Callithrix jacchus: one gene and its partners. The protein of the gene in region 3 purifies or fractionates together with the protein of the main gene of each other region. This does not show direct contact. Links are inferred from orthologs where the notes say so. Each region holds a gene or a part of one and is shown on either strand. Other genes may lie near its edges. The genes, in order: ARRB1, MAP2K3, MAP3K5 and STUB1.

Region 1 (3,557 bases), on a different chromosome or scaffold from region 3:
CAAGCAGCAGGAGTGACCAGAGGCCCTGGGGCCACTGACTTGGAGGGGCACCCCATGTTGGGTCTAACTCAGCTCACCACCCTGGTCTTTCCTCAGGGATACCCCATCTGACTGAAGGCATTGGGTCAGAAGCTGCCACCTCTTGCAGGAAGCCTTCCCAGGTTGCCCTTCCCCGGACTTGGTAACAGAGCCCAGTACTGCCTGAGTGAGCTGGCCTACTGGTCCATCTTAGTCCCTCGGTCACCCCTGGATAGGGATGGGAGTAAGGAGGTAGCTTCCCTGATAAGTCAAGCACCTGAGGACAGGCCCTGGACAAGGCTGGGGAGAGGGTAGCCTGAGCCTTGTCTTTGAACTGGAGGGACCAAGGAGGGTGAAAAGCAACGTGCACCAGGAGCCCAGGGCTAGGCGGGCAGGTCCTCACAGGGTGCTAGAGGCCAAGTTCGTGTCTTCATGCTTGAGCTTCCCATCCAGGGCAAGGCCCCGCTTCTCACGGTTGTTGGCCAGGAAGGGGGTCAGTGTGTAGACCTTGCAGAACGTTGAGCTGGGTGCCACAGTGTCGCTGGGAAGAAAGGAAGCAGCTGTGGAGTTGGCCCTCCCCAGAGCCAACCCCAGCCCTGCTCTCCAGCCCAGCAGAATGTCTAGTCTGGCCCTGCTCCAAGCCTCCCTCTCCTGACTTCTATCCCCCACAGATACAGGGACCACTTGGGCCAGCCCAGCTCCGGAGACCACTGCGACTCAAAAAAGGCACATCCACATTCTATGCACAAACAGGACTGGATCTGGGATATTCTAAGAGATTATCATAGTCAAGCAGCACAGTGCTAAAAAGCACATTTAGTTAAAAAATGACAGCCACAGCAGGCACAGTTGCTCACACCTATAATCCCAGCAATTTGAGAGGCTGACAGGAGGATCACTTGAGGCCAGAAGTTTGAGACCAGCCCGGGCAACAGAGCAAGTCTCCATCTCTACAAAACATGTTAAACATTAGCCTGGTATGGTGGTGCACACCTACTTGAGAGGCTGAGGCAGAAGGATCACTTGAGCCCAAGAGTTCGAGGCTGGCTGTAGTGAGCCAAGATCGCACCACTGTACTCCAGCCTGGGCAACAGAGCAAAACTCTATCTCTAAACAAATTTTATTTTATTTTTTGAGGCAGTCTTGCTCTGTGATCCAGGCTGAAGTACAGTGGTGCGATCTTGGCTCACTGCAACCTCTACTTCCTGGGTTCAAGAGATTCTCCTACCTCAGCCTCCCAAGTAGCTGGGATTACAGGCGCGCACCACAACGCCCAGCTATTTTTTTTATTTTTAGTAGAGATGGGGTTTTACCATCTTGACCAGGATGGTCTCAAACTCTTGACCTCAAGTAATCTGCCCACCTCAGCCTCCCAAAGTGCTGGGATTACAGGTGTGAGCCATTGCACCTGGCCCTGTCTGTAAACAAATTTAAAAAAAAATTATAGCGACACATAAACCATAAATGAAACTATTTGGGCACCCACATACCCACCATCTAGGCTCAACAATTAAAACTCCACTTGCTTTATCGCATCCATCATGTATAGTGTGTTTTGATTGTCCAGTTTTTGCTTGCTTTTGCTCTATCCCCCATCCTTTCCAAAGAGAGAGCTGACATGCAGCAGATAGCGAGCAAGCCGTGGAGTCAGACAACCTGTGCACCAGCCCCAGCTTCGCTGCTTGCTAGCTTACAAGTCACATCTCTCTAGCCACTTCCTCCTCAACACACTGGGGCAGCAGCAACCCCAGCCCCATGGGCTTCCTGAGAAGTAAACAAGCCTATGAGTGCAAAGGCCTACCCAGCCACCCCTGCTGGGATCTGTTACGCAGACCCTGGCACCATCTGCGGGGGTGGGATGTTCTACCCTTCAGGGATTATATGTTACTCTGTTCTAGATCACTTCACTTTACCATCTGGAATCTATGCTTCATGGCTCTGATTTTTTTAAAAAAAGAACAAGAGGCTGGGCGTGGTAGCTCACACCTGTAATCCCAGCACTCCGGGAGGCCGAGGTGGGCAGATCACGAGGTCAAGAGATTGAGACCATCCTGGTCAACATGGTGAAACCCCGTTTCTACTAAAGATACAAAAGAAATTAGCTGGGCATGGTGGCGTGCGCCAGTAGTCCCAGCTACTCAGGAGGCTGAGGCAGGAGAATTGCTTGAACCCAGGAGGCGGAGGTTGCAGTGAGCCAAGGTCCCACCACTGCACTCCAGCCTGGCACCTGGTGACAGAGTGAGACTCTGTCTCAAAATATAAATAAGTAAATAAATAAAAATAAAAAAGAACAACAGTGAATATCAAAAATATCCAGTAACCAGAGAATGCTTGATCTCAACATAGCATGTTCACCTACAGGACATTAAAAACTGTCTCCAAGGCCATCTAGTAATTTTTTAAATGTTTGAAGTTGCAAAAAATACTGATTGGAATTATATATAAACAAATACACATACACAGTAAAATTACATCAGGTGTAATTGCCCCAAGAAATTACTTGTAGGGCCAGGAAAAAGACTGTGTGTGTCTTTAAATGGGAGCATTTATTTCCTTTAGGTAAGTAAAGATGTTTCACTTGAGATCTCTCCTCTTGCCTTAACTGCCAACAAGCTTGGGACAAAATTCAGTCCACACTCAACCATAGTAGTTCTCCTCAAACCTAGATTTTTTTTTTTAATGTCTGTGTATAATTAGTCTCTACACTCCCACACACAACCCCTTTACCCAGTGAGCTGGATTACCCTTTATTAGACTGTGCACCTAGTGCCTTACCTACTTTGCCCTGGCTACCAGGAAGCTCAGAACAAAGTATTTCCCTTCAACCTAGGTTTCTTGTACAATGTAATTATTTTCTTTCCCCAATCCCAATCCCCTTACATTCATTAGCTCTTGTTTTGTCATTCTAGTTTTAGTGGGTCTCTTCCTTGATTGTACCTTGCATTTTCTTGTAGCTAAATCAGGTAGATGGTTTCTAAAAGGCTCTTTGGGATCATCTACTCTGAGTGGCAAGGAATTCTGAGGCCCAGCCCTCTGCCAGGTGAAGAAGAGACACCTGGACCTGTAACAGGATACCTAGAGCTTTTTCCCGCCCAATCCCACATGCCCAAGGCCAGATGTGTGCTCACTTACTCAGCCTCTTCCATGGCAACAGGGCACTTGTACTGAGCTGTGTTGAAAAGGCAGATGTCTGCATACTGGCGCACTGGGGAGGGAGAGGAATGAGGTTGAGCGAGTCTGGAATGCAGCTCCCATGGAGTCTCTCAGGCTTCCTGGGGTTGGGGATATTCAGCCCCAGGCAATGGCCACAGGCCACCAGTAGGGACTTCTGCCTGAGACTACCTCTGTCTTCCATCCAAAGGGTAGCCCCAAAACACACAAATTTCCTTCCATAACCAAAGCCTTCTCCTCAAGTACAGCTTTGCCCAGAACCCAAGAAACTGAAGAGAAGAGGTGGCTTAAAGAATGAACTCATTACCTGGCCAATAAACAGCCTCCCTGACTCGCCTCAAAAGTGGGGCCCTGTGGCTCAGGGCAGG
Region 2 (4,283 bases), on a different chromosome or scaffold from region 3:
CTCCGGGCCTGAGGGCTGCACACACACAGAAAACTCCCCAGGCCGATGGCACGGAGGACGGAGGACGGGGCCGGGTACCTGCTGCATGGCAGGAAGCTCAAAGGTAAAGCTCCAGTAAGGTCAAGCGCCAGCCACTCCCTGCCGTGTTCAAATTCCTTTGAGAAGGTGGAGAAGGCTCTGTGCTGGGAGGCCCAGTGCCCAGGATGGGGCGGGCATGGGGCGAGGATCTCCACCTATTGGGGCAGGCCGGCCATCCTCCCTCCAAGCTCAGTTCTGCATCTGTCAAATGGGTCAGATTGCAGTGAATATGCCTCAGGCCCAGCGTGAAGCGCTGTGCACAGGAAAGGCAGCACCTCTGCTTCAGTCTGTCCTGGAGGTCTGACATGGCCATGAGGATAGGCCCACTGCACAGGCTGTGAGCAAGGCCAGGGGTGAGGGTGTCCCACCCACTCAGCTCAGGCATCTAGCATGGGAGCGGCACACAGGGGGTCACTGGGAAGACCTCTGTGGAGACACACAGTCCTGGGGGAACCCTAGTACACCTGTCACCTCTGTGTGGCCTCAGGCAAGGCACTTAATGCCTCTGGGCCTCAGTTTCCTTATCTGTAAATGGGGCTGTGAGGAATGAATGAGGAAATGCATGGCACATGGAAAAAAAGAAGGAGCTCACAGGGATTTTGGTGAGGGGCACTGTGGCTCTGCCACCACATACTTCTCCAGACCCCGAAGAGGCTATAGAGTGCCTGGGCCTGAGGGAGGTCCCTGACCCTCCATTCAGCCCACCCAACCTCATCTGGGACCTGGGTTCACATCTAGAAGTTCATCCTGGCCTTCTCACAGCGCTCCCACCACCTCTGTGACCCCTCTCCCTGCACAACTCTGCAACTGGAGCTTTTATTTTGCTGAGGCATTCCCTGCCTGGAGAGCTAAAAAAGCCTCCAAAACAAACAGTGCTTCTTACCCCTCCCCGAGCTCTCCAGAGTGGAGAAGTGTCTGATTTCCCGGTTCCCAAGCTCCACGAGGTCTGTGCAGTGAAGTCCCTCTTCAGATGCCTCCCCCGGCGAGTGCCTCCTGAGTTACTCACAGTGGTTGGGCAGTTGTCAGGGATCCAGCCTCCCACTTATGTAAGGCATAATTATTCTGCCCACCCGGCTCCAGCCACCACAGCAGCCAGCAGCAGGGGCCAGGAAGAGCCCATGCCCTCCCCAGACCCCCATAGGGCTTCCACTGGCATGCACCCTCCAGGGCAGGAGAGTGGTTGACCCCTGATGAGGGGGTGCCCGCTGCTACCTGCCTCCTGCTCACTCTGCAGTGGAGTCCCAGCAGCGGGGGCCTTTCCAGCAAGAATGAAAGCAACAGCGGGATGCATGCAGCCGGTGTCCCCTGGTGAGCACTGGCCCTCGCCAGGCTCTCTTTGAGTGAAAGAACGCCTCAGAGCTCATTAGCATTCACCACCCCACACCCCACTCCCGCGTCCACAGAAGCAGGTGTGATGACTTCCAATTTACAGAAAAGAAAACTGAGACCCAGAGACACCAGGGAGCTTGCTGGGGTGAGGCAGCCCATTCATTACAGCTATGTCCGGTTTGGAAATCTCTCACAACACAGCCTGCTGAAACTCCGACGCACCAAAAACATCCTCTCCTCTTCCTGAAAAAAAAAAATTCCCCTTCTGCCCTCCAAGTCTCGTCCTTCCCCCCTCCGCATGACAAATCCTGCTGCCGCCACCTCACAAAAATTTCCAGGAAAGCCAGCTACTTGGAGAAGAGCAAATCCCTTGCACAGCCAGCACCCTGGCCTGGCGGCTGGCCCAGATCCCAGGCAGCTGGGACGGGAACCAGATGGGGTGAGCGCCCCAAGTGCAGGGAGAAGCTTGCAACTCAGAGAGGAGTCGGTACAGAGGGGGCTGCACCTTACGGAGGGGTGAGAGGACAAGGGAGGTTCCTGGGGACACAGGACTGCAGGACGGGGTGGAGGTCAGCCAGGGAAGGGGTAACATAGGGCCTAAAGGAGAGGGAGAGTTGGGGGAGAGGAGGTCAGGCGGTTCTGAGCTGGGGTATAGCCAGAGCACCCACATAGGGGCTACAGTGAGGCCCGCAACAACAGGAGCACTCTGGGGCCCAGATGGAGACGCAAGCGATATCCCAGCCTAGATACAGCCCTGGGTCCCGAAACTGGACGTGGGACTGGGTGCTGACCAAGGATCCAGGTGGGGGCCAGTGTGAATCTCACCCGGGTCCCGCTGACGGAGAAGATTGGGAGAGTTCCTGTCTAGGCTGCAGCCATAAGGCCCAAATGAGGTCAGAGTGGGGCTCCTGACTTGGATGGGTGGGAACAAAGTCCTCGCCTGGGTTCAGCCTGGGTGATCTCGAGCCTGAGTGCAGTCCCAAGGCCTAACCTGGGGATCCAGGTGAGGTCCCAGGCTGGGGCCGGTCCTGGGAACCCAAACAGGAAGGGGTTCCGGGACAGGGCGCCGCTGCTAGGTCAAGGACAGGATAGGGTGGGACCACAGAACGGTCAGAGTTTGCAGCCCGACCCCAGACTGGGCCCGGGGTCAGGACAAGGTTCCGGCGGGGAGCGCCTACCTTTGGACTGGGGCATGCTGGCGGGCTGGCTCGAGGCTGGCGACTCCATGCTGCAGACCGGTCCGGGACGGCGGCGGGGACTAATCTAGAGGACAGCGGGCTCCACCGGGGCCGAGCACGCTCATGGCTGCGGGCAGATAGCCCGGGTCAGGCGGAGGAGCAGAGGCACGCGGCAGCGACTGCAGCGGGACGCGTCCGCAACTGGCGGCGCCAGAGCCAGACTGGGCAGCGCCCGGTGTACCCCGGCCGAACAGCGCTAACTTAGGCCCCACCCCTGCGTGCCGATTGGCCCTCCCGTTTCCAAGGCCTGTACCCCGCCTATCAGACGCCGGCTGTCCCTGCCTATCAAACATACGCCCAACCACCCCGTGGGCCCAAGATCCTGGTCCCTCTCGCTCTCTGTCAAGTCCGCCCGCCGCCCGAAAAAACAAGGCCCGGCCAGACTCCGCCCTCCTGATCTAAAGCCTCGCCCCTCGCGCTGCCCGTCAACACGCAAGCCCCGCCCACTCCCGGGACCCACTGAGCCCGCAACTCCCTGCTGGCGCCAGACCCCCCCCAGCACCCCCAGACCCCGCCCAGCACCTCCAGACCCGCAGCCCCGGCGGGTGCGCTGCGAGGGCGCGTTCTCCTGGGTGCTTGGTCTGGAAAAACCCCGAGATCCCCAAAGGTGGTGCGGCTGGGCCTGGCGAGGAGGCCGGGGGTTAAAAGCAAGCTGCTGGGTTGAGACCGGGTTTCAGATACGAGTCGGCAACTTTGCAGCGGGACTGGCCTCGGGCAGGTCGTGACACCTGAGCCTCAGTCTAAGCCTCTGTGAGCGGGCGGCGGTGACAGCCACCTCCCGGCGCTGCTCGCTAACACGCACGGAGAGCCCCGCGCCAACAAACGTTCACTTGAGCCCGGGCACCAGGCGCCAGTCCAGGGCGTGGAGTCGGTGGTGAGCTCAGCGATGCCCGGTGACAAGGCAGCACGAGGAGCTTTCGTGGCTGGTTACTGTTGCCCCTGTTCTACACAGGGGGAAACTGTGTCTCAGAAGGAGTGAGGTGGCATGCGGTGCATTTTATCCCGCGAGCCCCAGGCCCCATCCCGGCTCTCTCCTGGGCCTTGGTTCTCTCCACTCCTGCTAAGACCTCAGTCTGCTCATCTGCATAATGGGTGGATGGGCCAGTCCTCCCTCTGCTCCCACACAGAACCTGGGGGAATTTCAGGAACCGCTGACCAATCTGGTGCTGGGATCAGGTGACTCTGGATGTAAATCCAGGGCTAGTGAGGGCAGAATGTGCCAGGCAAAGGGCAATGGGTCAGCCCCTGGCCTCCAGGCAGACATGAGTGTGTACCCTGTCAGGGACCTCACGTGAGGGAAGCAGATTCCACCACCTGCCAGAACGCTTGAGGCCAGGGCTGACCTCTGCTTGCCCAGGTGTAAAGTGGGGGTGATGCAGGCCCCGTGCACACAGCGGCGGGGAGGGCCACGTGAGATAAGAGGGAAGCCTTGGAGTCATCACCTTTCTCTTCCTGCATCTCCTGTTTACCCTTCCCAGGTCATGGGGTGGAAATCATGAGCCTGGGGCTCAGACCCGTACAAACTCCAACACCAGCTCCCCCACTTACTAGCTGGGTGACCTTGGAGAAGTCACTGAGAAGCTCTGTCCCTCAGTTTATCTATCCCATGGGGACAGTAAGGACTCTGAAAGCATTTCA
Region 3 (4,224 bases):
GAATCCCAGGGCCAGTTAGGGCTCTCTGGGTTTTCCCACCTAAGAAGGTAAGTACTTCCTTCACAGGCTTGTTTGGAGGATTCAATGAAATACACTCAAACTGTCAGTTTCCTTGTAATCATTCTCACTCCCTTTCCCAGAGGCAGTGTTTGGAGAGTAACAGAAAGAAAGCATTGTTAGGAAACTTTCTTTCAAATTAACTTAGAGTTTAAGATTTTTTTTCTGGAGTCCTAGAAAAAAACACCCAATCAGTGCAATAAAAATAGGCTCAAGTGTTCAGTTGGGTATTTTCCTCTCATATCTTAGTTCTTTGAAGCTTCTTCCAAATTATAATCCAAAAATAAGAGTGCCATAATTTTTAGAAAAGTTATGTTGATGTAACTTTTATAGCAAGCTACCCAAAGAATCAAGCTATAATATATTATATCCATGCTTAGTTACGAAGACCAAAACTATTTTTAAAATACCAGAACCAGAAAGTCCTAGTTTATTTAGTCTGGCTTCTTTAACATGAAGTTCTTGTTGTTCTTAAAATATTCAGCTTTGGCTGAATTCCAAGACTGACATAAGCCTACTTCAGGTGCTTGGAAGGGGCTGAAGAGAATCAGAACTGAAAACAAAAATGGAAAATAAAGCTTTTTATGTGATCACAAATGCAAGAAGTGTATTGTTTTGAAACCAATGAACCAGGTTTTTACCCACAAATTAAACATAAACATGTATATATTCTCAACACAGGATATACAGGGGGCTAAAGGTTAATTTCCATAACATGGTATTAGTCCTAACATTTGTTAACAGGCAGCTAATTGCTTCAGTTACTAGAACTGCCTTAACATTTTCTGAAATCTGAGATAGGTTGAAAAGATACATTTCTTTCATGGATTATGCTAGTAATCACTTTAATGGCCAAACTAATGTTGTTATTAGGATAGCATATGGTTGTTTTAGACAATGTTAAATAATAAACTTTCTAGCCCACCATGTATGGGGCAATAAAAAAAAAAAAAAAGACCCTGGTTCTCTTACCAAAATCCTTACAAAGATACCACACAAGTTCAGTGTAAGTTGTGATGTTATTACCTTTGGAAGCACTGTAATTACTTGGAAGTCCGGGTTAGTGAGATATGAGAAATTCAAGCGACTAAAACTTATTGAAGGTAAGATGAGTTGGGAAGATCGCAACATGGCATGTAAATTAATATAGTTACACTCTGCGTGCAGCTGGCTGTGTGGCATGTCATCGTTCCTGTACTCTCAAAATTACACAGAGAAAAAGAGAACCTCATGTAAAGCCGTCACAGGTATCTGCAGAAGGAAAACAGCGATCCAACCTAACAGAAGTGAAACCGAGATCCTGAATGGAGAAGGAATGACTGGGGCAAACATCTCCCACTGCTGGAAGACAGTTCTTCAGGTTTATCTCAAGGACCCAGGGCTCCGGCTCTGGGCGGTGGGTGGATCCATGGGTCTGTCGCACAAATACACACAGACTCTTACACAAGCACACACGCTCTCCCCGGAGGGGCGAGTGACAGGAGCAGTCACGCAGTGGCGGTCGCTGTCCCCAAAGTGGGGCAAGAAATAAATGCTTCCCGGCCAGAAAAATAAAATGCCCCAAAGACCGACAGGTTAAACATGGGTCCCGACCGCGCGGGATGGAAAAGGGGTCACACACGCACCTGCATTGTAAAAGCGGTCCAGAACCGTGGTTTCTCCAAAGTCGAGTTTCCCAAAATGCAGGGTCTCCAAGGTGGCGCCAACTGCCTCGCACGCCTCCCGCAGGCTCTGCAGGGCCTCGCTCTCGGCCACCACCAGTTGCCCCTGGCTCGCTTCGTTGATCACATATGCCACCGTGGTCCGTCGGCTGCCTCCACCACCAGAGCTGCCCCGGCACCGGGTGGCACTGCTCGCGGAGGAGGCCGCGGGACACCCTATGCCAGGGGCAGCGGCGCTCTCCACGTTCCAGAAGCTGCCCGGCGGCGGTGGCAGCTGGTGCTCCTCGCTCTCGCCTACCGCCGCCGCTCCTCCCCTCCTGCAGATGCCGCCCTCGGGGATGGTGCAGAACCCCGAGGGGGCGAAGGGTGGCACGGAGAAAGTGATGCCCTCGCCCGCCTCCGTGCTCATCTCTCCTGACCGGGATGCAGCGGCGGCGGCGTCCCCTGCCCAGCCGCACCGCCTGGCCAGCCACAGCTCTGGGCTGCTCCGCGCCCGCCGGGCTAAGCAGCTGCCATCGCGCGCCGCGCCCTCGCCGCCGCGCCGCCGCCTCCTCTCCGGCGCCCTCTCCCCCGAGGGCACGCCGCTGCCCGGCGGCGGCTCGCTCCTCCTCGGCGCCTCCGTGGCCGCGCCGCTCGCCGGCTGCAGGGTTTAGAGTACAAGGGGTGGGGAAGCCGGGTGAGCGGGAAGGGACGGAGCTTCCTTTTCTTGGCCGGCTGACAAGTCGGCTCGCAAACCTGCGCCGCGGTGCAGCTCAAGGGCGCCGCGCTCGGGGTGCAGCCCGCCCTCGCCACCCGCCGCGCAGCGCCGCGCAGCTCCTTCCGTCCCGGCCGCTCTGGGAGGGGCCAGGAAGGGCGCCCCCTGGGTGCGGAGCTACCTGGTGCGCACCTTACGGGCGGGCGGGCTCCCACGGCGGCGTCCCGGAACAGCAGCAGCAGCCGAAGGGACCCGCCTCCCTCCTCGGCGGCAGCTCCCCTTCATCGGCTGGATTTCCTCCTCCTCGCCCTGCCTTGCTTCTCTTCGGATCGCCTCCGCCGCGTCGTCCCCGCGCCAGTCTTGTGGCTTCTCGCAGCCGCTCGCCCTCTCCTCCACCAGCTTCTGGCCACCCACTCGACGCGGCCCCGAGAGTCAGGGCCCGCCCCCGGTGAGCGAGTTGCTAGGAAGCTCGAGCCCGGACGGAACCGACCGCGCCGCGGCCCCCGGACCCCAGCCCTTCTCTGAGTGCCCCGCGTGGCGTAGCGTCCCCGTCCTCACCCACCCGGCCCCCACCTAAGAAGACTTGGAGCGCAAGCGATTACTGGGTGGCGCAAAAGTCTCTCCAGCCAATACTCGGTCCTCGGAGTCCGCCCCCGAGGCATTTCCAGTGTTCCCCGCGGCGAGGGCGCCCCCCTCCGGCCCTTGGCGGCGTCGTGGACTGGGACCGTGCGCGGCGCTGGCAGGACAGGCTCGGGGAGGCCCACGTTGCGCGAGGCAGGAGGTGGCAAATAGCGCCCTAGAGCCAGGGCCTACACTGGAGGGTTGTTCATTAGTGGCTGTGGCACTCCAGAAGTGGCAGGCTAAGTTGATCAGGTCGTCCCATGTACTTTTCCTTTTTTAAAATTTCCAGTGGCTCCTGCCGTTATCAGTAATGGGTAGGTAATTGATTAGTGCCAACTGCTGAAGGGTTTAGCATTCTCATGTAGGATCTTAATTCCCCTTCAAGTGCCAGATACTTAAGATAGATAGAAGACGGAGTCTATACCCAACTCCACAGATTATCAGCAAGATGAAACAGGGGAATTACGTGACTTATTCTATTTTTAAACTGCACCAAGCTGGGCAGGGAGGGGAGTACCCAGATTGTTTAAGAGCGATCAAAAAGTACCTACTTATCTGGGGAGGAAAGAATAGATTTGTAAGTTCTCAGAGAACCCCAGAATGCTATAATTGTTAAGAAAGCCAGCGCAAGTTACAATTGAGAAACAGGTTTTGTACTTCCAGTCTCCAGGAACTGAGACTAATGAGTCCTGTGAAAAAGGGAGAAGAAAGTGTGAATGACAGTTTTTTGTGGATTTTGTTTTGGTTTTGGTTTTGTACTTGTTTTTTGTTTTTTTAAGTCGGAGTTTTGCTTTTTTTTTTTTTTTTTTTGAGACAGAGTTTCACTCTTGTTACCCAGGCTGGAGTGCAATGGCGCAATCTCGGCTCACTACAACCCCCGCCTCCTGGGTTCAAGCGATTCTCCTGCCTCAGCCTCCTGAGTAGCTGGGATTTCAGGCGTCCACCACCATGCCTAGTTAATTTTTTGTATCTTTAGCAGAAATGGGGTTTCATCATGTTGGCCAGGCTGATCTCAAACTCCTAACCTCATGATCCACCCACCTTGACCTCCCAAAGTGCTGGGATTACAGGCATGAGCCACTGACTTTGCTGGCTTTTTTTTTTTTTTTTTTTTTAATGTATTAACTTTAGATATGTTTCTGATGTTAGGAACCCAAACCCCAATACAATGCTGAAATGCTGCTTCTGGCT
Region 4 (4,264 bases), on a different chromosome or scaffold from region 3:
AACCCCACAGGAGCCGGCTCGGGGGTGCCCTTCCACTGGCACGGGCCTGGGTACTCGGAGGTGATCTACGGCCGTAAGGTCAGCCCAGGGTGGGTGTCGGGGCTTGGGTGGATGACCCAAGTGGGCAAGGGTGACGCTGCTGCCCCTGCCCACAGCGCTGGTTCCTCTACCCACCTGAGAAGACGCCAGAGTTCCACCCCAACAAGACCACGCTGGCCTGGCTCCGGGACACATACCCAGCCCTGCCGCCGTCTGCACGGCCCCTGGAGTGTACCATCCAGGCTGGTGAGGTCAGTGGCTGGCAGGAGGGACCGGGCCAGGTCAGAGGCCCGCAGCTGATCTCGGCTGCACCCCCTTCCTTCACCAGGTGCTGTACTTCCCCGACCGCTGGTGGCACGCCACACTCAACCTTGACACCAGCGTCTTCATCTCTACCTTCCTTGGCTAGCCGTGGCAGCCGGCAGGCACTCCTGTCACACAGAGCACTTCTTCCCCAGCTTGTGCTCACGGATTTTATTACACAGACGGTGGCCGCAGCCCAGCCCACCCTCACCTGCTTTTCCAGCCCAGAATGGGGGACGGGGAGGATCACAGCCCAGCAAGAGCTATGCTGAGAGGGGAGCCGTCCAGAGCCCAACAGCAGAACTGGGGGGAAGGGAAAGGGTGGCCAGGGACACAAGCTATGTACAGGGGCTGGGGGCTTCTGCCCGTGGCCCTCCGGGGCCAGGACACTGGGCAGGGCGAGGAGCTCAGTAGTCCTCCACCCAGCCGTTCTCAGAGATGAATGCATCAATGACCTCCTTCATAGCCAGGTTGGGAATGAGCTGTTCCTGCGTCAGGGGGCTCCGGGTCACAGGGTCAAAATGGCCTACACGCTGCAGTGACAAGAGGCAGAGGCTGCTCAGCAAGCCTAGGACCCTGCTGCTGGCCCTGCCCACCCCCTGGCCCCAGCCTCACCTGCAGGTGCTCCTCGATGTCCTTGCGGTCGTAAGTGATGCCACTGGGTGTGATGCACGGCTCCCGCATCAGCTCAAAGCTGATCTTGCCACACAGGTAGTCAGGGATGTCGCGCTTCTGTGGCACATGGGCACAGGGTCAGAGGCTGGGAAGGGGCTGCTCCAGGACCTACCACCCACAGCAGCACTCACCTTCCTCTTCTCATCCACCTGAGAGAAGAGCTCATCCATGTCCGCCATGTATCTGTCCTGTGGAAAGTTGAGCAGTGCTTGGGAGGGACACCCCACTTCCCTCCTCCGTGGTACCCAGACCCAACACGAGGCAGGGACACACAGACCCACAGCAGGGTGGGGACGCTCCCGTGCCACGTGTGCACACACACAGACCCACATGTGGATGGGGGCACCCTCACGTGCTTGGCCTCAATGCAGGCCTGCTGGGCCCGGACGTGACTGTCGTCCTCGTCACCCTCGTGGTTCTGCTGGCACTCTTTCAGCTCCCTGGGGGATGACCAGGAGCCCGTCAGAGACGGACCTGGCCAGAAGATGTCTGACCACACCCCAGACTCAGGGCTAACATCCAGGCTTCTTCCCCACATGCACTGCTCGCCAGTAAAACTTTCAGTAAACATTCGTGTTGGCGGTTGGTTATTCAGAATTATCCCCAGACAGCGCGGCCTGGGGTAAGGGTCCCACCTCTCACGCTCCGCCGCAATGAGCCTCGAAAGGTAGGAGTGCAGCTCACTCTCCTGGTGGATGCGCCGCTCCTCGATGCTGTTCCAGCGCTTCTTCTTCGCGATTCGCAGAGCGCTGGGGATGTCGTCCCCAAAGTTCAGTCGCTGCTCCTTGGCCAGGCTGTAGGCTGGGGAACAAGGGCTTCCGGTCACGCTGGCCAGTCCAACCGCCTGGTCCCAGGGGCCCCGCACCCAGGCAGCTTGTCGGCCAACCTCGCTGCAAATTGGCGATGGCCTCATCATAGCTCTCCATCTCCAGCTGGCACTGCCCCAAGAAGAAGTGCGCCTTCACAGACTGCCCGTCCAGCTCCAGGGCGCGCCGGCAGTCGGCCAGGGCCTGCTCATGCTGCTGCATCTTCAGGTAGCACAGGGCCCGGTTGGTATAATACACGGCCACCAGCGGGTTCCGGGTCTAGGGACCAAGGCCGGGCCAGCCGCATCAGGCGTAGGCTCAGCGCGCCCCCTCTGTCCCAGGGCCCGTCCCAGCTTCTGCGATCTGGCTACGATCAAGAACCTAGACCTCTCAGTAGCCAAAGCCTCTGGGTCCAAGGATCTGCAGACACGGGACTACTGGCTGAGCCTACACACCTCACTCCGGTTGGTTCTGTAGAGTTTTCCAAATCTTTGGAGAGTCCCAGCTTTGGACCCTGGCCTCCCACCCACCCGGCCGGCCTCCATCTAGCATCCCACCCTCGTTCCCCGGCACCTGGCGCTGGGATCGAGAACCAATGCTGGGCTTTCGGAGCCCAGGATACCCGCCGCGGAGGAGCCAGACCCTCGGCGGGGCCGGCCGATCGCGGGCGTGGCCCTCCGACTCGCCGTCGCCGCCTTCCCCACGCGGGCGCACTCACGATCGCGCGGCCGTAGCAGGCCGCCGCCTCCGGGTACTTTCGGCCCACAAACAGACGGTTGCCCTGTTCCTTGAGCTCCTGCGCGCTCGGGCTCTTCTCCGGGCTTCCGCCGCCAGCGCCCAGCCGCGCGCCGCCCTCCTTCTCCTCCTTGCCCTTCATGGCGCCGAGCGGCACGGCCTGGGCTGCGCTCCCAAGCTCCGCGCCTGACGGCCCTGCACCCGAAGCCCGAGCCCGAGCCCTGCAGCCCGAGCCCACGATCAGCTCGGGCCCGGCCCAGCTCCGCCGCCGGAACTTCCGGCCGGGGGCGGGATCGGCGGGGACGCAGGCGTCGGGGGGCGGGTAGGGCCGCGCGTGCGCCCAACCAGCCTGGGCGGGGACAGTCGGCCCGCGACGTAGCTGGCTGCGAGGAACGCTCCGGTTCCCTGGCCCCGCGTTTTTCAGGGTCGGCATTCGCGGAGGCCAGCCCCGCCCCGCCCCGCCGAGGCCTCTCCAGAACTGGCCTCGGTGGCGGCCGTCCCATATATCCGGTTTTCTCCGTGAGGTGCCTCAGCCTTGGTTCGCTGAGGGCGTGCTTCCCTAAAAGCCTGTCCCGCCCACGTGGGATTCCGCCCCTGCCCCAACCCGTAAAGACCCCATCTGCAGAGGTCCCGCCCCCAGCAGCCCGCCCCGCCCCCAACAACAGGCCGCATCTGCGGCGGTCCCGCCCCCGGCACCCGCCCCCACTCCCAGCACCTGGCCCATCGGCAGAGGCCCCGCCCCCGCAGCCACCCCCATCGGCGGAGGCCCCGCCCCCAGCACCCGGCCACGCCCCCATCAGTCAGCCCCGTCTGCAGAGGTTCCGCCCCTGGCAGCCGGCCCCGCCCTCGGGGGGGGGTCGACTCCGTTTGCAGAGGTCCCGCCCCCAGCAGCCGGCCCCTTCCGCAGAGGCTCCGCCCCTGAGAGCCGACCCCTCCCCTCCACGTAACATGGCGGCCTCCCACGCGCTCTGGGGCTGTGGGGACCCCAGCGGCTTGCTGGGCTGCCATCCTGGAATGCCACCGAAAGGTGCTACGAGCGCGCGCGGGCCCCCGAGAGCGGCTGGAAGCCGTGGACCGTTGGTAGACTGGTAAGAGATAAAGGGATCCGTGGGGCGAGTGTCCCCGTGGCCGGACCTCCCCTCACCCCCTTTTCCAGGTAACGGGAGGAGTTGCTGGCGGCCATCAAGGGCCGAGCGGAGAAGCACGTGACGCGAAGGGAGCTGGAACGGCTGTTAGTCTAGAGGCTGCCGGTGGGGTGCGGCCCCGCCTCCTCGTGTGCGGGGCCTCCGTAGGGCGGGTCTTCAGGGAGTGGCGTCGGTGGGGCGGTGCTTCCTCGTGGGCGGGGCCTCCTAGGGGCGTGTCTTCGTGGGGGCGGGGCTTTGTCGTGGGGCGGGGTTCCTGGAGGGTCCACCACTCCAGGCATCCTGACCTGGCCTCCCACAGAGAGGCCGCTTTTGGCCATGTCTTCAGCAGCCTGTGGCCACCAATCCCCTGAGCTGGTTGTGCACCGCTTGACCTCCGCCTTCTGACTCCTGCCAGAGTCGGGGGCCGCAGTCATAAAGTTGTGTGCCCTCCGCGGTGTGGGCCCACCACAGGTGAGTCGGGTGTGCACGACCTGGGTGCACAGGCATCCTTGTCTGTGAAGCCGGCAGTCTGGGCCCTTGCATGTTCCTGGGAGCAGGAGCAGGGTCTCCCAGAGCTTGTCC

Evidence for each region.
Region 1: the proteins of MAP3K5 (region 3) and ARRB1 purify together in Homo sapiens (affinity purification with western blotting; 3 studies listed by BioGRID and IntAct, with this or other methods). This does not show direct contact. The link is inferred for Callithrix jacchus from reciprocal best matches to the Homo sapiens genes MAP3K5 and ARRB1.
Region 2: the proteins of MAP3K5 (region 3) and MAP2K3 purify together in Homo sapiens (co-immunoprecipitation; 4 studies listed by BioGRID and IntAct, with this or other methods). This does not show direct contact. The link is inferred for Callithrix jacchus from reciprocal best matches to the Homo sapiens genes MAP3K5 and MAP2K3.
Region 4: the proteins of MAP3K5 (region 3) and STUB1 purify together in Homo sapiens (affinity purification with western blotting; 3 studies listed by BioGRID). This does not show direct contact. The link is inferred for Callithrix jacchus from reciprocal best matches to the Homo sapiens genes MAP3K5 and STUB1.

The regions. Positions count from the first base shown.
Region 1 is NC_133511.1:65,678,914-65,682,470, reverse strand, and holds part of ARRB1 (beta-arrestin-1), read right to left. Parts: intron 3,224-3,557; coding exon 3,151-3,223; intron 560-3,150; coding exon 422-559; intron 1-421. UniProt on the Homo sapiens protein: Functions in regulating agonist-mediated G-protein coupled receptor (GPCR) signaling by mediating both receptor desensitization and resensitization processes.
Region 2 is NC_133506.1:64,703,711-64,707,993, forward strand, and holds the start of MAP2K3 (dual specificity mitogen-activated protein kinase kinase 3), read right to left. Parts: upstream 2,809-4,283; 5' UTR 2,635-2,808; coding exon 2,586-2,634; exon of another isoform or gene 962-2,585; intron 280-961; exon of another isoform or gene 79-279; intron 1-78. UniProt on the Homo sapiens protein: Dual specificity kinase. Is activated by cytokines and environmental stress in vivo. Catalyzes the concomitant phosphorylation of a threonine and a tyrosine residue in the MAP kinase p38.
Region 3 is NC_133505.1:143,588,196-143,592,419, forward strand, and holds the start of MAP3K5 (mitogen-activated protein kinase kinase kinase 5), read right to left. Parts: upstream 2,817-4,224; 5' UTR 2,698-2,816; coding exon 2,605-2,697; intron 2,359-2,604; coding exon 1,683-2,358; intron 1-1,682. UniProt on the Homo sapiens protein: Serine/threonine kinase which acts as an essential component of the MAP kinase signal transduction pathway. Plays an important role in the cascades of cellular responses evoked by changes in the environment.
Region 4 is NC_133513.1:2,940,145-2,944,408, reverse strand, and holds STUB1 (E3 ubiquitin-protein ligase CHIP), read right to left. Parts: upstream 2,823-4,264; 5' UTR 2,701-2,822; coding exon 2,542-2,700; exon of another isoform or gene 2,397-2,541; intron 2,103-2,396; coding exon 1,904-2,102; intron 1,819-1,903; coding exon 1,653-1,818; intron 1,586-1,652; exon of another isoform or gene 1,458-1,585; coding exon 1,370-1,457; exon of another isoform or gene 1,206-1,369; coding exon 1,149-1,205; exon of another isoform or gene 1,075-1,148; coding exon 958-1,074; exon of another isoform or gene 898-957; coding exon of another isoform or gene 876-897; coding exon 750-875; 3' UTR 499-749; downstream 1-498. Other genes in the region: JMJD8 (jmjC domain-containing protein 8), read left to right, coding at 11-78, 156-290, 368-448. UniProt on the Homo sapiens protein: E3 ubiquitin-protein ligase which targets misfolded chaperone substrates towards proteasomal degradation.